Sus scrofa: one gene and its partners. The main gene of each other region encodes a partner of the protein of the gene in region 3 in a complex. Links are inferred from orthologs where the notes say so. Each region holds a gene or a part of one and is shown on either strand. Other genes may lie near its edges. The genes, in order: CORO2A, HDAC3, TBL1XR1 and GPS2.

Region 1 (4,694 bases), on a different chromosome or scaffold from region 3:
AGGGGAAGCCCTTTCCCCAGAAGAAAAAGGCTAGGAAAAGGCTACAGGATTCATTTAATGATGGGGGGGTGGTGGTCAGAGGCTAGAACATTCTTTGGTTATCCCTGCTTTCACTGTTCCTTCTTCTTCTTTTTTTTTTTTTTTTTTTGTCTTTTTGCCTTTCCTAGGGCTGCTCCTGCGGCATATGGAGGTTCCCAGGCTAGGGGTTGAATCAGAGCTGTAGCCGCCGGCCTACGCCAGAGCCACAGCAACGTGGGATCTGAGCTGCGTCTATGACCTACACCACAGCTCATGGTAATGCCAGATCCTTAATCCACTGAGCAAGGCCGGGGATCGAACCCACAACCTCATGGTTCCTAGTCAGATTCGTTAACCACTGCGCCATGACAGGAACTCCTGTTCCTTCTAATAAAGGCTTCTGTTACAGAGATTTGCTAAGTCTAGAATGTGGGTTGTCAGAACTAAAAGAAACTCAGCACTGAATCTACCCCATTTCACAGATAGGGGAAATGAGGTACAGAAAGGGCCTGGGATTGCCATAAGCTTACACGGTGGGATGGAGGAAGAGTTCATCCTGGAATCTACATCTGCTGACATGAGTCTCATGGCTTTTCCTCTGGACCACACTGCTCCTGTGCTGGCCAGACTACAGCAATGGAAGCTTTGGTGTCACCCCGTGCCCCCCACCGCCCCATTTTTGGCTGCCCCAAGACATACGGAGCTCTAGTGCCAGGGATCAGATCCAAGCCGTAGTTAAGGCCTAAGCCACAGCTTCAGCAATGCCAGATCCTTAACCTCCTGTGCTGGGCTGGGGATTGAACCCCAGTCCCAGAGCTCCCACGAGGCTGATGATCCTGTTGTGCCATAGCGGGAGCTCCTAATGTTTCTATTTTTAAAGCTGTATTTTTTAAATGAAAAGTTTATTAATCCTCAGGTAAAACACCAAGAACCTCTTCACTATAACTTCTTTAGAAAATAATAGCACTACACTCAACTCTGTAATTACTTCCTTAGGGTAAAGTCCTCAAAGTAGAAGGCTAGGGGCAAAGGAAGTTAGGATCTTTGTCATAGGACTTTTGAAACGAGCTGACAGATAGCCCTGCAAAATTAAATGCTGCTGGAGAATCCTATAGCTTTGCCAGCATAGAGATTTATCCTTTTATATTTATTTTTATTAATTTTATAGGAATAAATACTGATTGCTTTCGTTTACTATATGGTATGTGTTTTCAAACAAGCAAACACACACACACACACTCACACTCACACTCACTCACTCACTCACTCACTCACTCTGGTCCTGGAATTAAGATCCCTGGGCTTGGTTGCTTGTCTGCTGGGTGACTTTTAACAAGTCACATCCCCTTAGGGGATACCTATCTGTAAAATGAAGAGGTTGGATGAGATGATTTCCTAAGATCTGTTTTAGCTGGATATTCCATAATTTCATGGTGCATTTTTTAATTATTGGCACAGGATGACTTTTTAATAACCACAATCTGCCATACCTCTAAATCAAGGCCCAAATGGCTCGGACTAGCAGAGCAGGAAAAAAGAGCCCAGATTATACACATGTAGTGATGATGGGAGACATAGGTAGCACTTAAGCCTGTGCATTGGAGCTACGCTCGGGTGATAGCACATATACTTAGCCTGCTTTTATGAGAGAATAATAACACTCATTTGTGGTCTAGCTTCAAGTTGTGCAGCTCCATCATGGCCAGAAGGTAAGGCCCTGGTTACTCTATTTTGGCCTTAAGAGTCCCAGACTTACAGTCAAGTGTAACCCTGGGAAGTGCTCATCCAGCCTTTGCTCACATCTCTGATGACACAGAGCTTATCACCTATCCTGGCAGCCCCTTCTTTTGGCTGTAGGAAAGTTCCCAGGTGAGGGGCAGGTCAGGAGGGGGTACAATCGAGAAAGCCCAGGCTCGATTTTCAGAAACTACTCCTTCAATCAGAGCAGGCAACAGAAGACAGGGACCCTTGGGCTGGAAGGGCTGGAGAGAGGCTCCTCTGGCTCCTCCTCTCACTCCAGACCTCTAAGGCAGCTACCTTTCCAGAGGTACAGGGGACACATTCCAGTCCTGATGAAGGTGGGTTCTGAACAAGCCTCAGGCTGACTACTAACTGCTCCAGGGCAGACACCTCAGCTCTCTTGTCTTGCCTTTGCTCCCTTTGGCTCTGACAGGAGAAACAGCTCTGGATCTGGGGCTGTTTAACCCTGAGGTGAACTGATTTAAGGGACCAGATAATTGCCCTGGGGTGGGGATGGAGGGGTCAGATGTTGTCTGTGTGCCAGAGCAGGACTAGCAGACTCTAGCTCTGTTTACAGCGAGTGAGATTCCCATCATAAGGGGTGTGCAGTGGGGCAGTGAGATGGTCCAGAGGGATCTTACCAAGGGGCCAGGACAGACACCAGAGGTCGTCTTTACCCAGAAATCTTGGAGCCACAGTCTCTCAGACATTTGCTCTGTCCCAGACCCGACCCCACCCAAACACCATCTCTTGGCACTGTAGCTCCTCTAGGTCCGTCTATGCATGGACAAGCCAACCATATCACATCAGGCTGGGACTTAGATTTGGGCGTTAGCACCTGGTGGGGAGACATTGCATACCATGCCCTAAATCCAGGTACTTGCGTGGGTCTGGTCCAGGCAAGTCTGTGCCAGAGGGCTCCACCACCTCCAACCTAGGGCTCCTCCAGCCCCAGACCGCGAGGAAGACTAGGCTTAGACTCTGACTGCCCCACCCTGCATGCCCAGGCTGGCTTGACAGGGACCTGGGGGTGTCGCCTATTAATGTTTCCTGTGCAGGGAAGCTGAGGCCCAGCAGGTTACCCAGCCAGGAGAGGGAAGAGTCCCAACACGGGTCCCGCGGGGCACCCAGGCCACTAGGGGGGACTGTCGGGACCGGCTTGCCACACCCAGCAAGAGCAGCCCTCACTGCGGGTGGGCTGTGCAGACAGTGCCCATCCGACCCTGCGCCGTCGGGAGCCTGGAGCTTGAGGCGGCCCCTCCCCACAGCCCAGCGACGAAGGGGCCATCCTTGTGCCCGCTATCCCGATGGGGAAACTGAGGCCTGGAGAGAAGCAGTGCTTTTTGCAAGGTCACGCAGAGGTGTCGAACGCCAGGTTCCCCGCGTCCCGCCAGGTCCCCAGCGGTGCGCCGAGCCCCAGCATCCCTCCCCAGGCGTTGCAGCTCAGAGGCGCAGCACGAGCACATCGCGCAGACGGGGAAGGCATAGCCCGGCGGCCCGGGACCGCCCTACCTTGATGACGGCCGCGCAGGTGGCGGTAGCGGCGGCGGCGTCTGGCTCTGGTTCTGAGCTCCTCGCTGCCCGCCGAGTCCCCGCGCCCAGCGCTGCCGCCTCCTCCCACCCTCAGCCCAGCGGGAGGGGCCGGTGGGAGGGGCCGGGGCCGAGCACAAGCCCCGCCCGCGAGTCCGCCAGGCCACCCTTCCTTCCTCGGCCCTTGGGCCGCGTTCCTGGTACCCCGGAGCTTGTCTCGGGGCGCGCATTCGCACAGAGAAAGGGCTCGCACAGCGGCGCGCACACGCCGCAGTGAATGGGGCGGGCTCCCCGGGGACCGAGTAGAGGCTGGGGTTGCCTTCCTTCACATCCCGTCGCTTTCTCGCGGAGTGGTATGAGACAAGGGATTCGATCCTTCCGGGAGGGTCACTTTACCCTTAGGTGGAGTGGAAACAAACCGTGTCTGCTTCAGAGTTGTTTGAGAATTGGAAGTGACGATCTAATTTACCGGCGCAGTAATGTGCGCACTCAGAGACGGCCACAGGAGTAGCGCTTGGTGAACCCGAGCTGTTGGAGTAATTCCTGGGGGTTCCCGGTACGTCGAGAGGAAGAGGGCAGGGAGGATCTCTGAGTATGGGAGGACGCCCTTCTTTCTATCGGTAGCCAAGAGGGGGCGCTGCTGCTTAGTCTTGCCGCCTTGGGCAGTGGGGGCGGAGATGGGGAAGCCCAGCCTTTTTGTAATATCACCACCCAACTCCTGAAGAACCGGGCACTGTTCTGGGCACCTTAAATGCATCACCGCAGTTTATCGACACATAAACCTACTAGGTTAGCTTTTACCTATTTTACACATAAGAAATCTGAAGTTCACAGAGGTTAAGTACCTTTCTTAAGATGACACCAGTATCAGTACAACCCTAGGCAGTGTGGCTCCCAAGCCCAAGCTTATAGTCACTCCACCACACCGTCTCTCATGAGAACAACTGTTTGTTCAGTGGTGTATCTCCAGGGCCTAGAACAGTGCCTGGCTCAGTAAGTGTTAATTCACCCGAATGTCTTAATTCACCTAGGGCTTCAGCCAGTAACTATGGTATGCATTTCCTACCCATTTGCACTCTCATATCTTTGTGCCCTTGTTCGCAGTCCTCTCTGCCAGGAATTCTCTTCCCATATCATGGTCTACTGTCTAAACAGATTCATTTCTTCCTTCCATGTCCTTCCCCAGGAAGGCTTCCCAGAACCCTTGTGGACATTCCCTCCCAGCCTCATATCTGCATCTTCCCAACTCCTGAAGAACCGGGCACTGTTCTGGGCACCTTAAATGCATCACCGCAGTTGCCATGATGATAGGCGGCTGGGACTGTGTTTGGGGACCTCTCTGGTTCCACATGGGCATAGGACCAATGGGCCAGAGGGGAGACCATTGGAAGCCTCTGTAATAGACA
Region 2 (3,107 bases), on a different chromosome or scaffold from region 3:
CGGCCCACACCTTGAACTCAATTTGTCCAAAAGAGTTCAAAAGCTACTTTCTAAGCGAAAATGTTGAGAAACAGACAGAATCAAAGCATGGCCGAAGTGATCCAACTATGACTCTTCTTTCTTGTCCCCCGTCTACACCTACCACAGCATTTATCTCACTCCCTGCTGGACTGGAAACGCCTCCAGGGAAGAGTCCGTGTTTGTGGCTACCACAGTATTTGGCATCATTTTTCACAAAGACAATGAAGATAATGAGCAACTGCTTACAGCAGGCTCAGGACCTGGCATGTTTCCTCTCAGTGCTCGTTCAGCAATCAGCATCACCATTCCCAACACCTAGCGTCCAACACCTGAATCGACTCCTCCTCAAGTAACTGCTCTGCCCAGGTTTGTCTAACTCTTGACTAGAATGCTCTGTTAACCCTCCACATACAAGGAAGATCATCCACATGGAATAATATACACATGTCCTAAGGTAACGTACGTGCAGAATGAATGTTTACCATGATTTTTATTATATACATATTAACCCATCTCCTCGCTCTTCGTGCACAGACAGCTAGCAAGAATTAAGAACATTCCCACGGAGTTCCCGTCGTGGTGCAGTGGTTTACGAATCCGACTAGGAACCATGAGGTTGCAGGTTCGATCCCTGGCCTTGCTCATTGGGTTAAGGATCTGGCGCTGCCGTGAGCTGTGGTGTAGTTGCAGACGCGGCTCAGATCCCGCACTGCTGTGGCTCTGGCGTAGGCCGGTGGCTACAGCTCCGATTAGACCCCTAGCCTGGGAACCTCCCTATGCCTCAGGAGCGGCTCTAGAAAATGCAAAAAAGCCAAAAAATAAAAAAACATTCCCAGAAGGCAAAAGGTACAAAAAATACCAACTCGGTTTATTGGATAAAAACAGTGGTAAAATGGACATAAAGCCAAAAGTTAGAGCAGGACATTTTCATATCCTCCCCCCTTTCCAAGTCACACTTCCCATTATCTGGGTTAAAGTATTAGGGGGCCAGGGCTCCCTAAAATCCCTTACTCTTCACCTGGAAGCAAGGCTTGCAGTAGGAGAAGCCTGGGGAGGTGGACGTCAGAAGCAACCGTACTGCTGCCTATTCCTTCATCCCCAAAGTCTCTGGGTTGGAGGGAAGCAGAGAAGGAATGAGGAAGCCAGAAGGGCTGGGACTGGCCTCTAGGGCCCACGGCCCGAGAGGTCCTAGAGACGTCTATCCTTATCCCCATCCGATCCCTAACAGGTACCGTGGTCTAGCCTTGGAGGGAGAAGAAAGGGAACAGCTGGTTCAAGAACCAGAGGTGGTCTCCAAAGCCTCCCCCGGTGTTGGTAACTGCCCTGAAAGTAACCAGACCAGGGGTAGGGGAGTCACACCTTTCCCTCCCACCCAACTAAGAGGAAAAAAGAAATTCCTGGGGACACGGCAAGCCCAGTCAGTCTTAAATTCCACATCGCTTTCCTTGTCATTGTCATGGTCTCCGTCATAGAACTCATTGGGCGCCTCCGGCCTACAAAGCAAGGAAAGACAGGAAGAGAGGTCAGGCTCCCACTCTCCAATTCCCATCTTCTCCCCCACAGGCACCCTCTCTGGAGCCACTTCCCAGGCCCCCGCTGTCGGGGAACCGCGCCTCTCCTCCTGCTCGTAGCGACCAGTCAGGATTCACACGCCCATTCATGCATCCATAAACACCTGCTGAGAGAGCACTCTGTGCCAGGCACTGCCATAGCCAGAGAGCAGAGAGCAAGCCAGACAGAATGGCTGCCTAGCCTCAAAAACCCCTCCAATAAACGAGGCTGACGATAAGTAACAAAGTAAAAACATAACCACGGTCATTTCAGGGGGGAAAGCACGTGGCTGGGAGTGTGGGAGGACGAGGGGAAAACCTCAGGCAGGATTGTCAGGAAAGGCTGGAGGAAGAAGGGAGGACCTTCCCCTGCGAAGGAGCCGCCCAGGAAGGGCGGTCCAACCCGTGAGGACACCAGTACAGAGGTTCGAAGGCCGACGGAGCGGACGGGTTCCAGCAAGAGAAGGGGGTCAGGACGGTCAGACGTGTGGAGGGCGGAGGGGCCTCAGAGAGGAGCCCGCACGTGGGAAGGGCCAGCACGCAAGTCCTTAGAAAGCCACCATCAGAAACGTGGCTTTAGGAGTTCCCGTCGTGGCTCAGCGGTTCATGAATCCGACTAGGAACCATGAGGCTGTGGGTTCGATCCCGGCGTTGCTGTGAGCTGTGGTGTAGGTTGCAGACGCGGCTCGGATTCTGCATTGCTGTGGCTGTGGTGTGTAGCCTGATGGCTACAGCTCCGATTCCACCCCTTAGCCTGGGAACCTCCATATGCCATGGGTGTGGCCCTAGAAAATGGCAAAAAGACCAAAAAAAAAAACAAAGGAAACTTGGCTTTTCTTCTAGTGCAATGGAAAGAAGCGCTTTAAACAGAGGCATGGCATCCAATAAACCTCTAGAGAGCAAAGGAGCGTGAAAGCAATGCAAGGCCCAATGAGTATTCAACGCCGTTCTCGTGCGTGTGGAAAACTGCCCTCTGGGAGAACGGGAATGACTAATAATGGAATTATCTTGCCCACAGCTGGTAAGCGAGAAAGAAGGGAGAAAGGCATCAAAGAGAAGCTGGGGACCCAAGCAGGAAAGGCCCCCTCTGCCTGGAAAGCAAAGTCTGAGGGACCTCTAAGGGCACCAGGGTTATAAGGTGAGGCTCAGAGACTCAGCTTTGCATCTCAGCCCTGATATTTACCTGACTAGCTGTGGGACCTCTGTTAAGTCAGTTATGTAACCTCCTCTTCTGGTAATTTAAGGAGGATACAACCTCTTAGGGTTGTCTGATGGCAAGAGAATGAGGACACGACGACATGTATCACCTGTACTTTAATATAAAGCACTCACTCCTCTGCTTAGCAAACCCACAAAAAGTGGTAACTCTCAGTACGATTCTGCAAATGGAGCTCCAGGTAGCAAAGAAAAGGAGCTCAGTGGGTAATCTGACAGTGACCAGGGCTTAGGACAGGAAAAGGCTCGAGGCTTCTACTGGCTGTTAAGAGAGGACTGTGCACAGTGCAGAGACGAGACCCAGATACCAGCCTGGAACTA
Region 3 (4,799 bases):
AAAAAAAAAAAAAAAAAAAAAAAAAAAAAAAAAAAAAAAAAAGGGCTCATCAGGGGCAGGAGCCTTTGACTTTGCTCAAAAAAAAAACACCTGTCTCATCACTGAGCTTATTAGGCCACCCAGAGTCCAGATGTGTAAAAGTTACTTGGAATGAACTTTTTTTTTAAGTATGAAAATTTAGGTCTCTGATACTGAGAGAAAAAGACTATTGCTTTAAAATAATGACTACACCAATTTCCAAATATTGTGATTAAAGTACGAAAACAGAACACCTCACCTAAAAAGGCTGTGAAAATGTTATTTTACTTTAAAGACAGGAATAACCGAAAGTAACAATAAAAAGGTTTCTTCTAGGCCTAATCTTAAGAGTAAGCTGCTTGTTATACACTAGGCTCATACAAAGGTCTTAGAAGACCCCAAGCCCTGATTTTGAGGACTTTAGAAAGATAAACGCATTTGTTTAAAAAAAAAAATGTGGCTTGCTTCCCTTTTTTTAAATAACCCCTTGCATTCCCTTTCTCATATTGTCACATCATCACTCATCTAAGTTACACTGTATAAACCGCCTTGATATGCTACACACATGCAAAAGTACACAAAGTGGATAAACTTGTACTGCCGATGCTGCCTTAGAAGTATGTATTTAGTAAACATTTAGTTACATTATTTTATTTTTGTGAAAAGCGAATTGATCGACCAAACCTTTCAAACAGACCCACCAGACGATAAATACCACCATATGTTTAATTCACTGTACATTTGGGCATAAACACTTCAATTACAGCTTTGTGTTTAGTATCAAAACCCTTTTCTTGTGTGCGTGTTTTCTGTACAGTTCCTGTGCTCTGGATTACATTTTGAGAATCGCTTATTACAGATAAAGCACCTTTCCAGGTACGCTTCCGAGAAACATATGTATTTATGCACACAAAGGTGCGTGCAGATCTTCTCACAAACACATGTCCATATGATGCCTGCGCCGTACTCTCCGCACACGCTCCCTGCGTGCGTTATGGCCCACCTGCCGCACCGCGCCGTCCGGGTGCCCGGGGGCCACGCCGGCCTACCCAGGAAAGTTTACCAGCAATGCCCCCCTCGCGACGGCGCGAGCATCCCCGCCCCCACAGGGCCTTGAGCCGCGCGGCCAACACCCAGGCCTCTCCGCACCCGGCCGCGCGCCGCGGTGGGGGCGGGGCGGTCCGGGCCCGGTGGCGCCTCGGGGCGCCTGCGGGTCTTTCTTTCTTTTTAAAAGGCTGCGCCGAACCCGCCCAGCCCCCCCAGCGCCACCGCCCCGGGCGGGCGGGGAGAGGAGCGGGGCCAGCAGAGGCCCCCCTAGCCGCGCCGCCACCGCCTCCCCGCGTCCGCGGCGCCCCTCCCCCGCCGGCCCCTCCCCGCGCGCCCGCCCGGCGCAGGCCGCTCGGGTTTGTTTTGCTGCGCGGCCGCCGCCGCCGCCGCCGCCGCCGCCGCCGCGGGCCTCGCGAGCTCATTTGTGCCTGGCTGGTCCCCATTCCTCTCTCCCCAGTGTTGAGTGTCTGAGCCGTTGGCTGCTCCGAACCGTTTGGCTCTTTCCCTTAGTAACAGCTTTTACCTTCTGCCTCAATTCCTCTCCCCGCTCGCGCCCTTCCCCCGCGCGCCGCCTCCCCCCGCCGCCGGCCGCGTGCGCCCCCGCCCCTCCCCCCGCGGCGGGAGCACCTCCGCTCGCCACCTGGGGACCCGCGCCGCGCTCCCCGCCCCCGCCCGCCCGGCGCCCATCCCCCGCGCCCTCCGCTTGCCGGGGTTATAATTGCCTCTCACCCCCCGGAGGGGTTATTTTGGGGGTGGTTGGAGGCGGCGGCGGCGGCGACGAGGGGAATTTCCTTGTGCCTCCATTCCCGGGAGGGGGGAGCGCGTCGGAGGCCACCGTTTCCAGGTAAGCGCCGGGGGCCGGACCCCGGGGTGGGGGCTGCGGGCCGGGGCGGGGGGCGCGGGCGGAGGTAGTTCGGGGGCGCCGGCCGGCGGGGGGATGGGCTCAAGTGGAACGTGCATTTTCAACTTGGCCCTTCGGGGAGCTGGGGGTTTGGTGGGGGAGGGAGAGAAAGGAAAGGCATTTAGGGTGCCCCATCCCCCCTTTTAGCTCTCTCAGGCTTCTTTGAAATGCTCACGTGCCTGCCCACCCCCTACCCTTTCCTGGTCCCGGGGGATCCTCACCCTTATTATGCTGTTGTCCCCGAAAATGTGCACCTCGGCCTTCTCCCCATCTTCCACCCTTCATCCGTTTACACCCCCTTTGTGTGTGAGTGTGTGTGTGTGTGTGTGTGTGTGTGTGTGTGTGTTGTATAGGGGGAGGCTTTCAGGAAGGAATGTGCAGCAAATTGAATCAAGGAGCCATCATGAGGCCGACTCCTTTATAGCCTATTTTTAGCAGGGGAGAGGGATCTCTACTGTGCGTGTTATTTTGTTAAACCTTAGGCAGCAATGGAAATCCGCTCCCCTCCCCCGGCGCGGCCCGGGCCCAGGCGCGGCGACCCCGGCCGGCGTGCGGGGGGCTGCGGGTGGCTGTTAGGGCCGTGCGTCCCGGGCGGGGGCGCGGGCGGGGGAGGGGCGCGCGGCGGCGGGGCCGCACTCCTGGACGTGTTTGTTTGTAACTTAGTGCTTTTTATCGTCTGGAGAAGATATTTGATAGAGCCACTTTGAAGTTGGGTTCAGAAGTGTAGAATTGGCAAAGTTATTGCCAGCTTCCTGGTAAGTTTTGGGTGGCTCAGAGTCACATTATTTTCTGACAGTGTAAAGGCCACGTTGTGAGGGTGGTTTCTTGGTAACTTCCTCTTTGCAACCGATGTCATTTTTTGAACAGAAACAGACTTTTATTTAAGTGAAATATTAATCTGAAATGGCAGTTCAAGGGAAGCCATGCATGTGTTAACGTGTTCAGTATTTTTGGAAGTTCCTAATTTGCTCAAACAGGCATCACTTTGCAGTGGCAACCGAGAATAAATTTAGGTTTGTGAAAATGGTGTTTCACGTGAAATTTTGGTTGTAATGGCTCTTAAAAAACCCTCCCGTTTTTAGGTTATCTAATAACATTGTCGAAAATAATTTGGTGATTAAAATTTACAAAAGTGTTGGAACCTAGTTTAAAACTTGCTCTTTCTCAGTGTCCGGAGTTTACTTAAAACCGTGTACTGTGCAGGCACCAAGGTGAAGAGTTTTAGTACATATGTGATTTTACAGTTGACTGAGGGAAGTTGACTATTGGCTTTCTTGTTTTCCAAACAAGACCCTTATGCTAATCTAAACAAGCTTGTTAATAAAATATGGTGGGTGAAATGATGGGTTATTTTTAGTCGGAATGGTTTGATTTCCCCTCCCCCATATAATCACCCCCCCTTCCCCCGTTTTTCTTAAAGACTCCTTTATCGGATATAAGGCCCTGGTGGTGTTTTCATTTACTTACCTAAAGAAATTGTAATATATATCTTGGTTACACATTGGAAGTACAATGGGTGACTTTTTTGTTTTCCCAATGTGGTTTATTTTCATTTTTGTTAAATAAGATCCATGTTGCTTGGTGTATTTTTGTAATCTTGACTTACTGGGACTGTATGTTCTCACCATTTATAACAAGTTTATAGTCTAGGGAAATAGGGCAGCTTTGTCTCCATGAAAACAGTGTGTAGGGTTGTATCGTGGGAGTTCATGGCAAGCAAGTTTCGGAAATTATCATTGAGCACGTTCTAGAAATAGTTAGCATTTACCTGTGGAGGAGGGGCAGCAGAAGGAGAATAGGCCTGAGAGTGGTTAGGCTCGTGATTCCTGTTTATACTTTTTGCTCTTAAATCAGGTTTTTCTGCTTCTTTGGAATATGATGTTTTGTCCATTTCTGCTGTCATGTACTGTGTGATATATGTAATCATAACCATTAAGTCCATACATAGATAATTACTATTTTTTGCCATTTGAGTAGTTAAAATCAGACCTAGAGGACAAAATACTAAGCTGTGTGGGGGATGAAAATAGTATGCACATTGAAAAAAGTTTTTTTTTTTTTTTATTGTTAAGGAACTTAATTAAGGGACTTACTAATGGCATAAAAATTGTTTCATAGCTCATCACCAGTTTATGATTTTTCTTCCAGCATATATCAACTTTGGTTATTAATATGGGAGACACCCTTGGTAAATGGAATGGCCCCTTTTGAAGGTTGTATTTTTTAATTGGTTGCTTCAAAGAAGTGTTAAATATTTAATAACTTTTACGTATTCTCAACATCTCAATATCAAATTAAGATTTGTCATGATTACTGTGATACATTCCTACCAAGAGATCACTGCTTCCTCTGTACTGGGGGCCTATCAAGCAGATGGGGTAGAAGCTTAACACACAGGGGTTACTGGTAAATAGAAATATGACTGATGGACCTTTTGAATGGCAACCTGTTGAATGAATAATCGGTTTTTATATGGCAGTGAAATATAAGTACCACTTTATCAAATAAGTAGCTGACAGGACTCCTCCTCCAATTTACTCCAGCAATTATTACTACAAAGAATTTTTGACTTGATGCATTTTGATGAAGTTAGTATAAATAATTTGTTGGGTTTGTTCAGTTTCTGTGTTATTTATATAAAAAGAATTGAGAAGAATGTGACTAGTAAGGAAGTCAGAGGAGAGGACGGCAAAAATATTGGCACTGTCTGGGACTTTGTATTTTTCTAGTACATAGAATTTGACTCATTTCATAAATGACATTTAAAGTATAAGTCAATGAAATGCAAAAGAAGAAAGCAGCTAACATTGAGACAGTTATAAATATACATAGT
Region 4 (4,963 bases), on a different chromosome or scaffold from region 3:
TTTAATATGAAGCCCCCAACTCAGCTGCTTCTTTGAATTAAATGGTATTTGCTGACCGGGAAGTCAATGTGGAAATGAGAAAGTGATTGGTAATCTGCTGTCCCACTGTGATTCCTGCGTCCTGCGGACCTGCCGCCCACTCCCACCCCCACCCCCACCCCAGGCAGCCCAGTGGGAGGTAACACAGACAGTAGCAGCATCGGGGGCAGTGGCAGGTAGATTTTATTGGCCTGGGACTGAGGCACACCAGGGATCCTCCCCCACAGTAGGGGGCAGGGGCTGGGAGCGAGGTTGATAGACTCTGATGGTCACTTGTGGTAGAATCGCGGGTTCTGGCTGTGCTGGATGAAGGGGAGCCGAGGGCCAGGCTGGCTGGTGGTTGCAAAGCCCGACTGGCAGCAGTAATGAGAGGAGGGCTTTGTCAGTGCGCGCCCTTCCCCTTCCTTCTACTCCCGCAGGGGACTGACAGCCATGGCAGAGGAGGAGGGAAAAAGGGGGGCAGGGACCACCTGTCCTACCCAGTCCTTTTTTCAACTTGGTGATGTAGGCATTCTGGTGGGCTTACCTTTCCTGCTGGTTGCATCTGCACAGGGAGCTGGGGTGAGGCAAGCAGTCCAGGGGCTGGATGCAGAGCTTGGGGATGCATGGGGCGTAGGGAGGACTGCAGAGAACAAAGTCAGCTGAGGCAGCCTGGGGCTCCCCTTAGTGTGGGCAGCCCTTCCCCTGACTTCCCAAGATTTTACTCACTGAGTCAGAGAAGCCAGTTTGTTGGTTAGCGTGTTCCATCTGCTTTTGTAAGGACAGGGCGCCACCGGGCTGGAGGAAGCCTAGGTGGGGAGGAAGGGTGTGTGAGGTGAGTAGAGAAAGGAGGCGAAGAGGAAGGGAGGAGGACCGCTGGAACTGGGCCCCTGCGTGGTGTCTGTCTACCATCACCTGTCTGGGTGGGCTGAAAGTGGCTGTGCACAGCATAGGGCTGTGGCTGTGGCTGAGACAGGTACTGCACTGCAGGAAATGCCGAAGGTGCTGAGGAAGGCAGGAGACAGCCATTAGGACCTCCTGGTAGCCTGTTCACAACACTCCTCCCTTAGAGCCTTGAGGAATGCCCCTCCTCCCCTTTGCCCAAGGCTCACCTCTGAGCTGCTGACTAGGACTATAGGCAGGCTGGGTGGGTCCATAGTGAGGTGGGGGCTGAGCAGTCCCATAGGCGCCGCCGGGGCTGCCTTGGAACTGCCCATGCTCCGGGGTCCCTGCGAAAGCAGCTGCTGAGCCCACGTAGTGTCGGTTCTAAGGAGGGAGGACGAGAACCACTGTAAACTCCATGAAGCAAAAACTTGAGTGACTGAAAGCCCCATTTCCCCAACACACTCATGACTTGAATGCTGGTTGGGTAAGGATGCGAGGCCGGCTGGAAGTAGCGGGAGTAAATGACAGCCTAGATACCCAGTCCTCCTGCTCTTACTGTAAGCACTTGGGGGCCGAACATCTGTTTGGCTCTGTCAGCTGCCATGAGGGTGCCTGGCCGATTGTGTCCTCCGGGGCTCCCTAGAGGGAGACGGGCTTGTGATGCTGCAAGAAGAGGCTGCAACCCCCAGGAAGGCCCATCTGACAAGTGGTTTCTTTAATCCTCACCCTGCATGCTGAGGAGGTGAGTTCCTGTGTGAACAGTCAGGCCTTGCTGGTATGCTGCCGATGTCAGAGTGGTCAGGTCACTGAACAAGAGGCAGGCACATCAGATCAAAGGCAAGCCTTTTCCCCTCTCCGCTCCCGCAAAAAACTTGATCTCTTGTTACCTGATCCCAGTTAGACTTTGGGCCCCAATTTTATTTTTAGCTGCCCAATCTCACCTCTGCTCCTTCCGCCTCCGTTTTTCTTCCTCATGTAAAACTTTCTTGAGCTGCAGGAAAAGCTGGTGCTTCTCTTCCTGGAGGGCCGAAAGCTTCTCCTGCAACTTCAGGATCTGGGAAGGAAGGAGAGGGATGAAAGCAAGAGAGCCAAGGGCAGAAAGGGCTGGGGAGAGATCAAGGGACTGCTTACTTGTTCCTTGGTCTCCTCTAGTGACATTCTCTCTTCCATTTCCTTTTTTTTCCTTCTCTCCTGCTCTTCCTTCATCTTTTGTTCCATCATCTTGTCCACCTCTTCTTCCTCTGGAAGAGTCAGAGTCAGGCAGAATGGGGAAGTGGCAGAGTGGTTAAAAGATTAGAATGTTAGCGATTGAAAGCCAGCAAAAACTGGTATCCCACTACACTTGGTACGAACTCTTTCCCTCTAAAAGAAACAGGTTTGCCCACCACTGCAAGAGGACACTGGGGACAGGGAAGTTTGTTAGGTGCTCTCCAAGGTCCTTGCCAGCTCACGGTTCTGGAGTTTAGATCTGGCCTCAGACTCCCGCCACGTCGGGGCTATCGGTCCCTCCTCTAGCTGTGGCCGCCGCGCAGGGTCTGCCCGTAGGTCGGGGTCAGCCCCGGGAGAGCAGCGCGCCCCGGGCCGTGCGTCCTCCCGCTCTGGCCCCAGCTCACCCTGCCGCTTGCGCTCCCGCTCCATCATGATGTGCCGGTGCAACGCCCTGGCCATGGCGTTGGAAAGCTTGGGGCGCTCCAGGAGCGCAGGCATGGTGCTGCTGGGGGCGCTCGGGCCGTGGACGCCCGGCTCTGTCACTGGCTGCCAGACCTCAGACCGGGCCTGCGGGGAGGCGGGCGCTCAGAGGGAGCGGACCAGGCCGGGGCGGAAGCCACTCGCCCGCCGCCCCGGTCACGTGCCTGCCGCCGGGCCGGCCTAACAGCGCGGCTCCTCCGCGAGCGCGGGCGGGGGTCTCGGCCTCGGCGCTCCCGCTCCCTGCCCGCTACCCGGGCGCCGGCCCCTCCCTACCCGTCTTCTCGTCGCTTTCTCCGCGGCCTCCCGAGCGCCTGGGCCGTGGCGTCACATCCGGCCGCTGGGCCGAATCCTTCCGGAGTCGAGGCTGTCGCGGCGCTCGCGGGCCGGCGGGGCGGGGCGGGAAGGCGGAAGCGCGGGCGACGGGTGCCCGCGGCGTCCAAACGCCTCCGCTGCGCCCCGCCCGGCGTCGACCCCGAGGGCGGAGCCCCTGACGTGGCGGGGCCGGGTCTCCTCCCGGGTCGGGGCGGGGGGGACCGAGAGGCGCGCGCGCGAGAGGCCAAGGCGGCTGCTCTGAGACGGCGTTTATTGGCTCCTTAGAAATCAGAGTCAGTAACAACTGTACAGAGGCCCCGACCCGCGCCCGCCTTCCCCACTCCCGCCCGGCCCGGAAAAGCAGCTTCGTGTGGGGCGCGGGGAGGCGCCTCTGGCCTTCACAGTAACCAGGAACAGAAACGGAAATAAATTAAGTGTAGGGGGAGGAGTGGCGGGGAGGCGCGCTCCCCAGATCAGTGCATGGAGAGGGTTCCCCAGGGCCGGCGGCCGGACCCCTCGCCGCCCTCGCCTCGAGGGGCTGTCCAGTCCCGGCCCCGGGCGCTCCTCTGCGAGCCCGCCTACATGCTCCTGTGCATCTGCCAGGCTGAGCACCGTGCATGCCGCGCGTCACTGGAATGAGGTGGAGGCAGTCGTCACTCAGAGTCCACGGGCCCAAGGCCCTGCTGTGCTTGTCGTAGTGCGGTGTCACCCCTCATTCCACCCGTACCAGCAGGGCATAGAGGAGCGTGGCCCCCTTCTCCTTGGTCACCCACTCGAGTTCAGCTGGGCTGAAGTGAGGGTCGGGAGGCTCTCTGAGGGCAGCAGAAGGGGGCCCGGGGGTGTAGGAGCCAGGGCGCACGCACACCTGGAACGCCACCTGGGCCTGGTGCGTCCGCTGGGATTTGGGGTCCCGGAATCTGGCAGGCAAGAAGCAGAAACGGGACAGTGAGGCCTCTGCTCCCAGTACCCCTCGCTCTTGCTGGCTGCAACCACCGCCCTGACGGTGACCGCGAGCCTGAGCAGCTGGCCTTGCTGTTGCCAGGCATCAGCCCCTCCTTACTGGGACTTGGCTCCGCCCTTTCCTCCCAAGGGTCTTCCTCCCATGCCCGCTCCCCTCGCTCCCTCCCCTCCCCTCTCCAGGCCTTTGCTCAAATCCCACCTTCTTCTTTTTTTAGGCCCGTTCCCATGGCATAAGGAGATTCCCAGGCTAGGGGTCTAATTAGAGCTGTAGCCACCGGCCTACGCCAGAGCCACAGCAAGTGGGATCCGAGCCACATCTGCAACCTACACCACAGCTCACGGCAACGCCGGATCCTTAACCCACTGAGCAAGGCCAGGGATGGAACCCGAAACCTCACGGTTCCTAGTCGGATTCATTAACCACTGAGTCACGACGGGAACTCCAAATCCCACCTTCTTAATGACGTCTGCCGCCACTACCCTATTTCATAGGCCGGGTCCTGCCACGCTTCTGATCCACCTCACTCCACTCTACATTTTGTTTCCATAGTATTTACATGTCACCTTCAAAGATACTAACTACTAAACACTCATTAGGCACAAACACTCCAGAGCAAGAGAGGGCAGAAGTTCCACGTGGCTAGGGTTCCCTTTTTTGTTCTGTGTGATAGGACCAAGTAAGAGGTCTTTGTTCAAAGACTGTGTGAGGGCTGGGTGGAGATGGGCTGGGAAGGAGGGTAACACCAGATCTGAGCAGCCCTGGGCCCCTCCCAGGTACTCACTGCACTTTGGATGCCAGGGTCTCGGCCCCGGCATATTGGAGGGAGGGGGAAAGCAGCACTGGAGGGGGCTGCTCCTCTCGGGGAGGCGCGCAGTTCTCACCAGGCTCCTCAAAGCCTCCCCCAGGCTCTCCCTTCAAGGGCCGGCAGCTCAGGATGGAAGCGGTACCTGTGAAGAGAGCGGGGTAAGGGCAGCCCGCCCATGGCCCACCCGCCCGGCCTGCCCCGCCTCTGCTGGCACCGTGGTACCTGCTCCCAGCTCCCCCCGGTCTAGCACCCTCCGCACGGCTGCCACGTTGCTCCCGTGATACGCCATGTGC

The links.
Region 1: TBL1XR1 (region 3) and CORO2A share a complex: the UniProt entries of both Homo sapiens proteins name them as parts of the N-Cor repressor complex. The link is inferred for Sus scrofa from reciprocal best matches to the Homo sapiens genes TBL1XR1 and CORO2A.
Region 2: TBL1XR1 (region 3) and HDAC3 share a complex: the UniProt entries of both Homo sapiens proteins name them as parts of the N-Cor repressor complex. The link is inferred for Sus scrofa from reciprocal best matches to the Homo sapiens genes TBL1XR1 and HDAC3.
Region 4: TBL1XR1 (region 3) and GPS2 share a complex: the UniProt entries of both Homo sapiens proteins name them as parts of the N-Cor repressor complex. The link is inferred for Sus scrofa from reciprocal best matches to the Homo sapiens genes TBL1XR1 and GPS2.

The regions. Positions count from the first base shown.
Region 1 is NC_010443.5:239,997,571-240,002,264, forward strand, and holds the start of CORO2A (coronin-2A), read right to left. Parts: upstream 3,395-4,694; 5' UTR 3,271-3,394; intron 1-3,270.
Region 2 is NC_010444.4:143,272,321-143,275,427, forward strand, and holds the end of HDAC3 (histone deacetylase 3), read right to left. Parts: intron 1,515-3,107; coding exon 1,295-1,514; 3' UTR 868-1,294; downstream 1-867. UniProt on the Homo sapiens protein: Histone deacetylase that catalyzes the deacetylation of lysine residues on the N-terminal part of the core histones (H2A, H2B, H3 and H4), and some other non-histone substrates.
Region 3 is NC_010455.5:115,485,058-115,489,856, reverse strand, and holds the start of TBL1XR1 (F-box-like/WD repeat-containing protein TBL1XR1), read left to right. Parts: upstream 1-1,628; 5' UTR 1,629-1,909; intron 1,910-2,187; exon of another isoform or gene 2,188-2,295; intron 2,296-2,559; exon of another isoform or gene 2,560-2,721; intron 2,722-2,741; exon of another isoform or gene 2,742-4,799. UniProt on the Homo sapiens protein: F-box-like protein involved in the recruitment of the ubiquitin/19S proteasome complex to nuclear receptor-regulated transcription units. Plays an essential role in transcription activation mediated by nuclear receptors.
Region 4 is NC_010454.4:52,664,668-52,669,630, forward strand, and holds GPS2 (G protein pathway suppressor 2), read right to left. Parts: upstream 2,977-4,963; 5' UTR 2,866-2,976; exon of another isoform or gene 2,757-2,865; intron 2,680-2,756; 5' UTR 2,611-2,679; coding exon 2,517-2,610; intron 2,145-2,516; coding exon 2,035-2,144; intron 1,958-2,034; coding exon 1,845-1,957; intron 1,710-1,844; coding exon 1,630-1,709; intron 1,543-1,629; coding exon 1,460-1,542; intron 1,285-1,459; coding exon 1,131-1,284; intron 1,024-1,130; coding exon 934-1,023; intron 828-933; coding exon 748-827; intron 662-747; coding exon 566-661; intron 393-565; coding exon 309-392; 3' UTR 202-308; downstream 1-201. UniProt on the Homo sapiens protein: Key regulator of inflammation, lipid metabolism and mitochondrion homeostasis that acts by inhibiting the activity of the ubiquitin-conjugating enzyme UBE2N/Ubc13, thereby inhibiting 'Lys-63'-linked ubiquitination.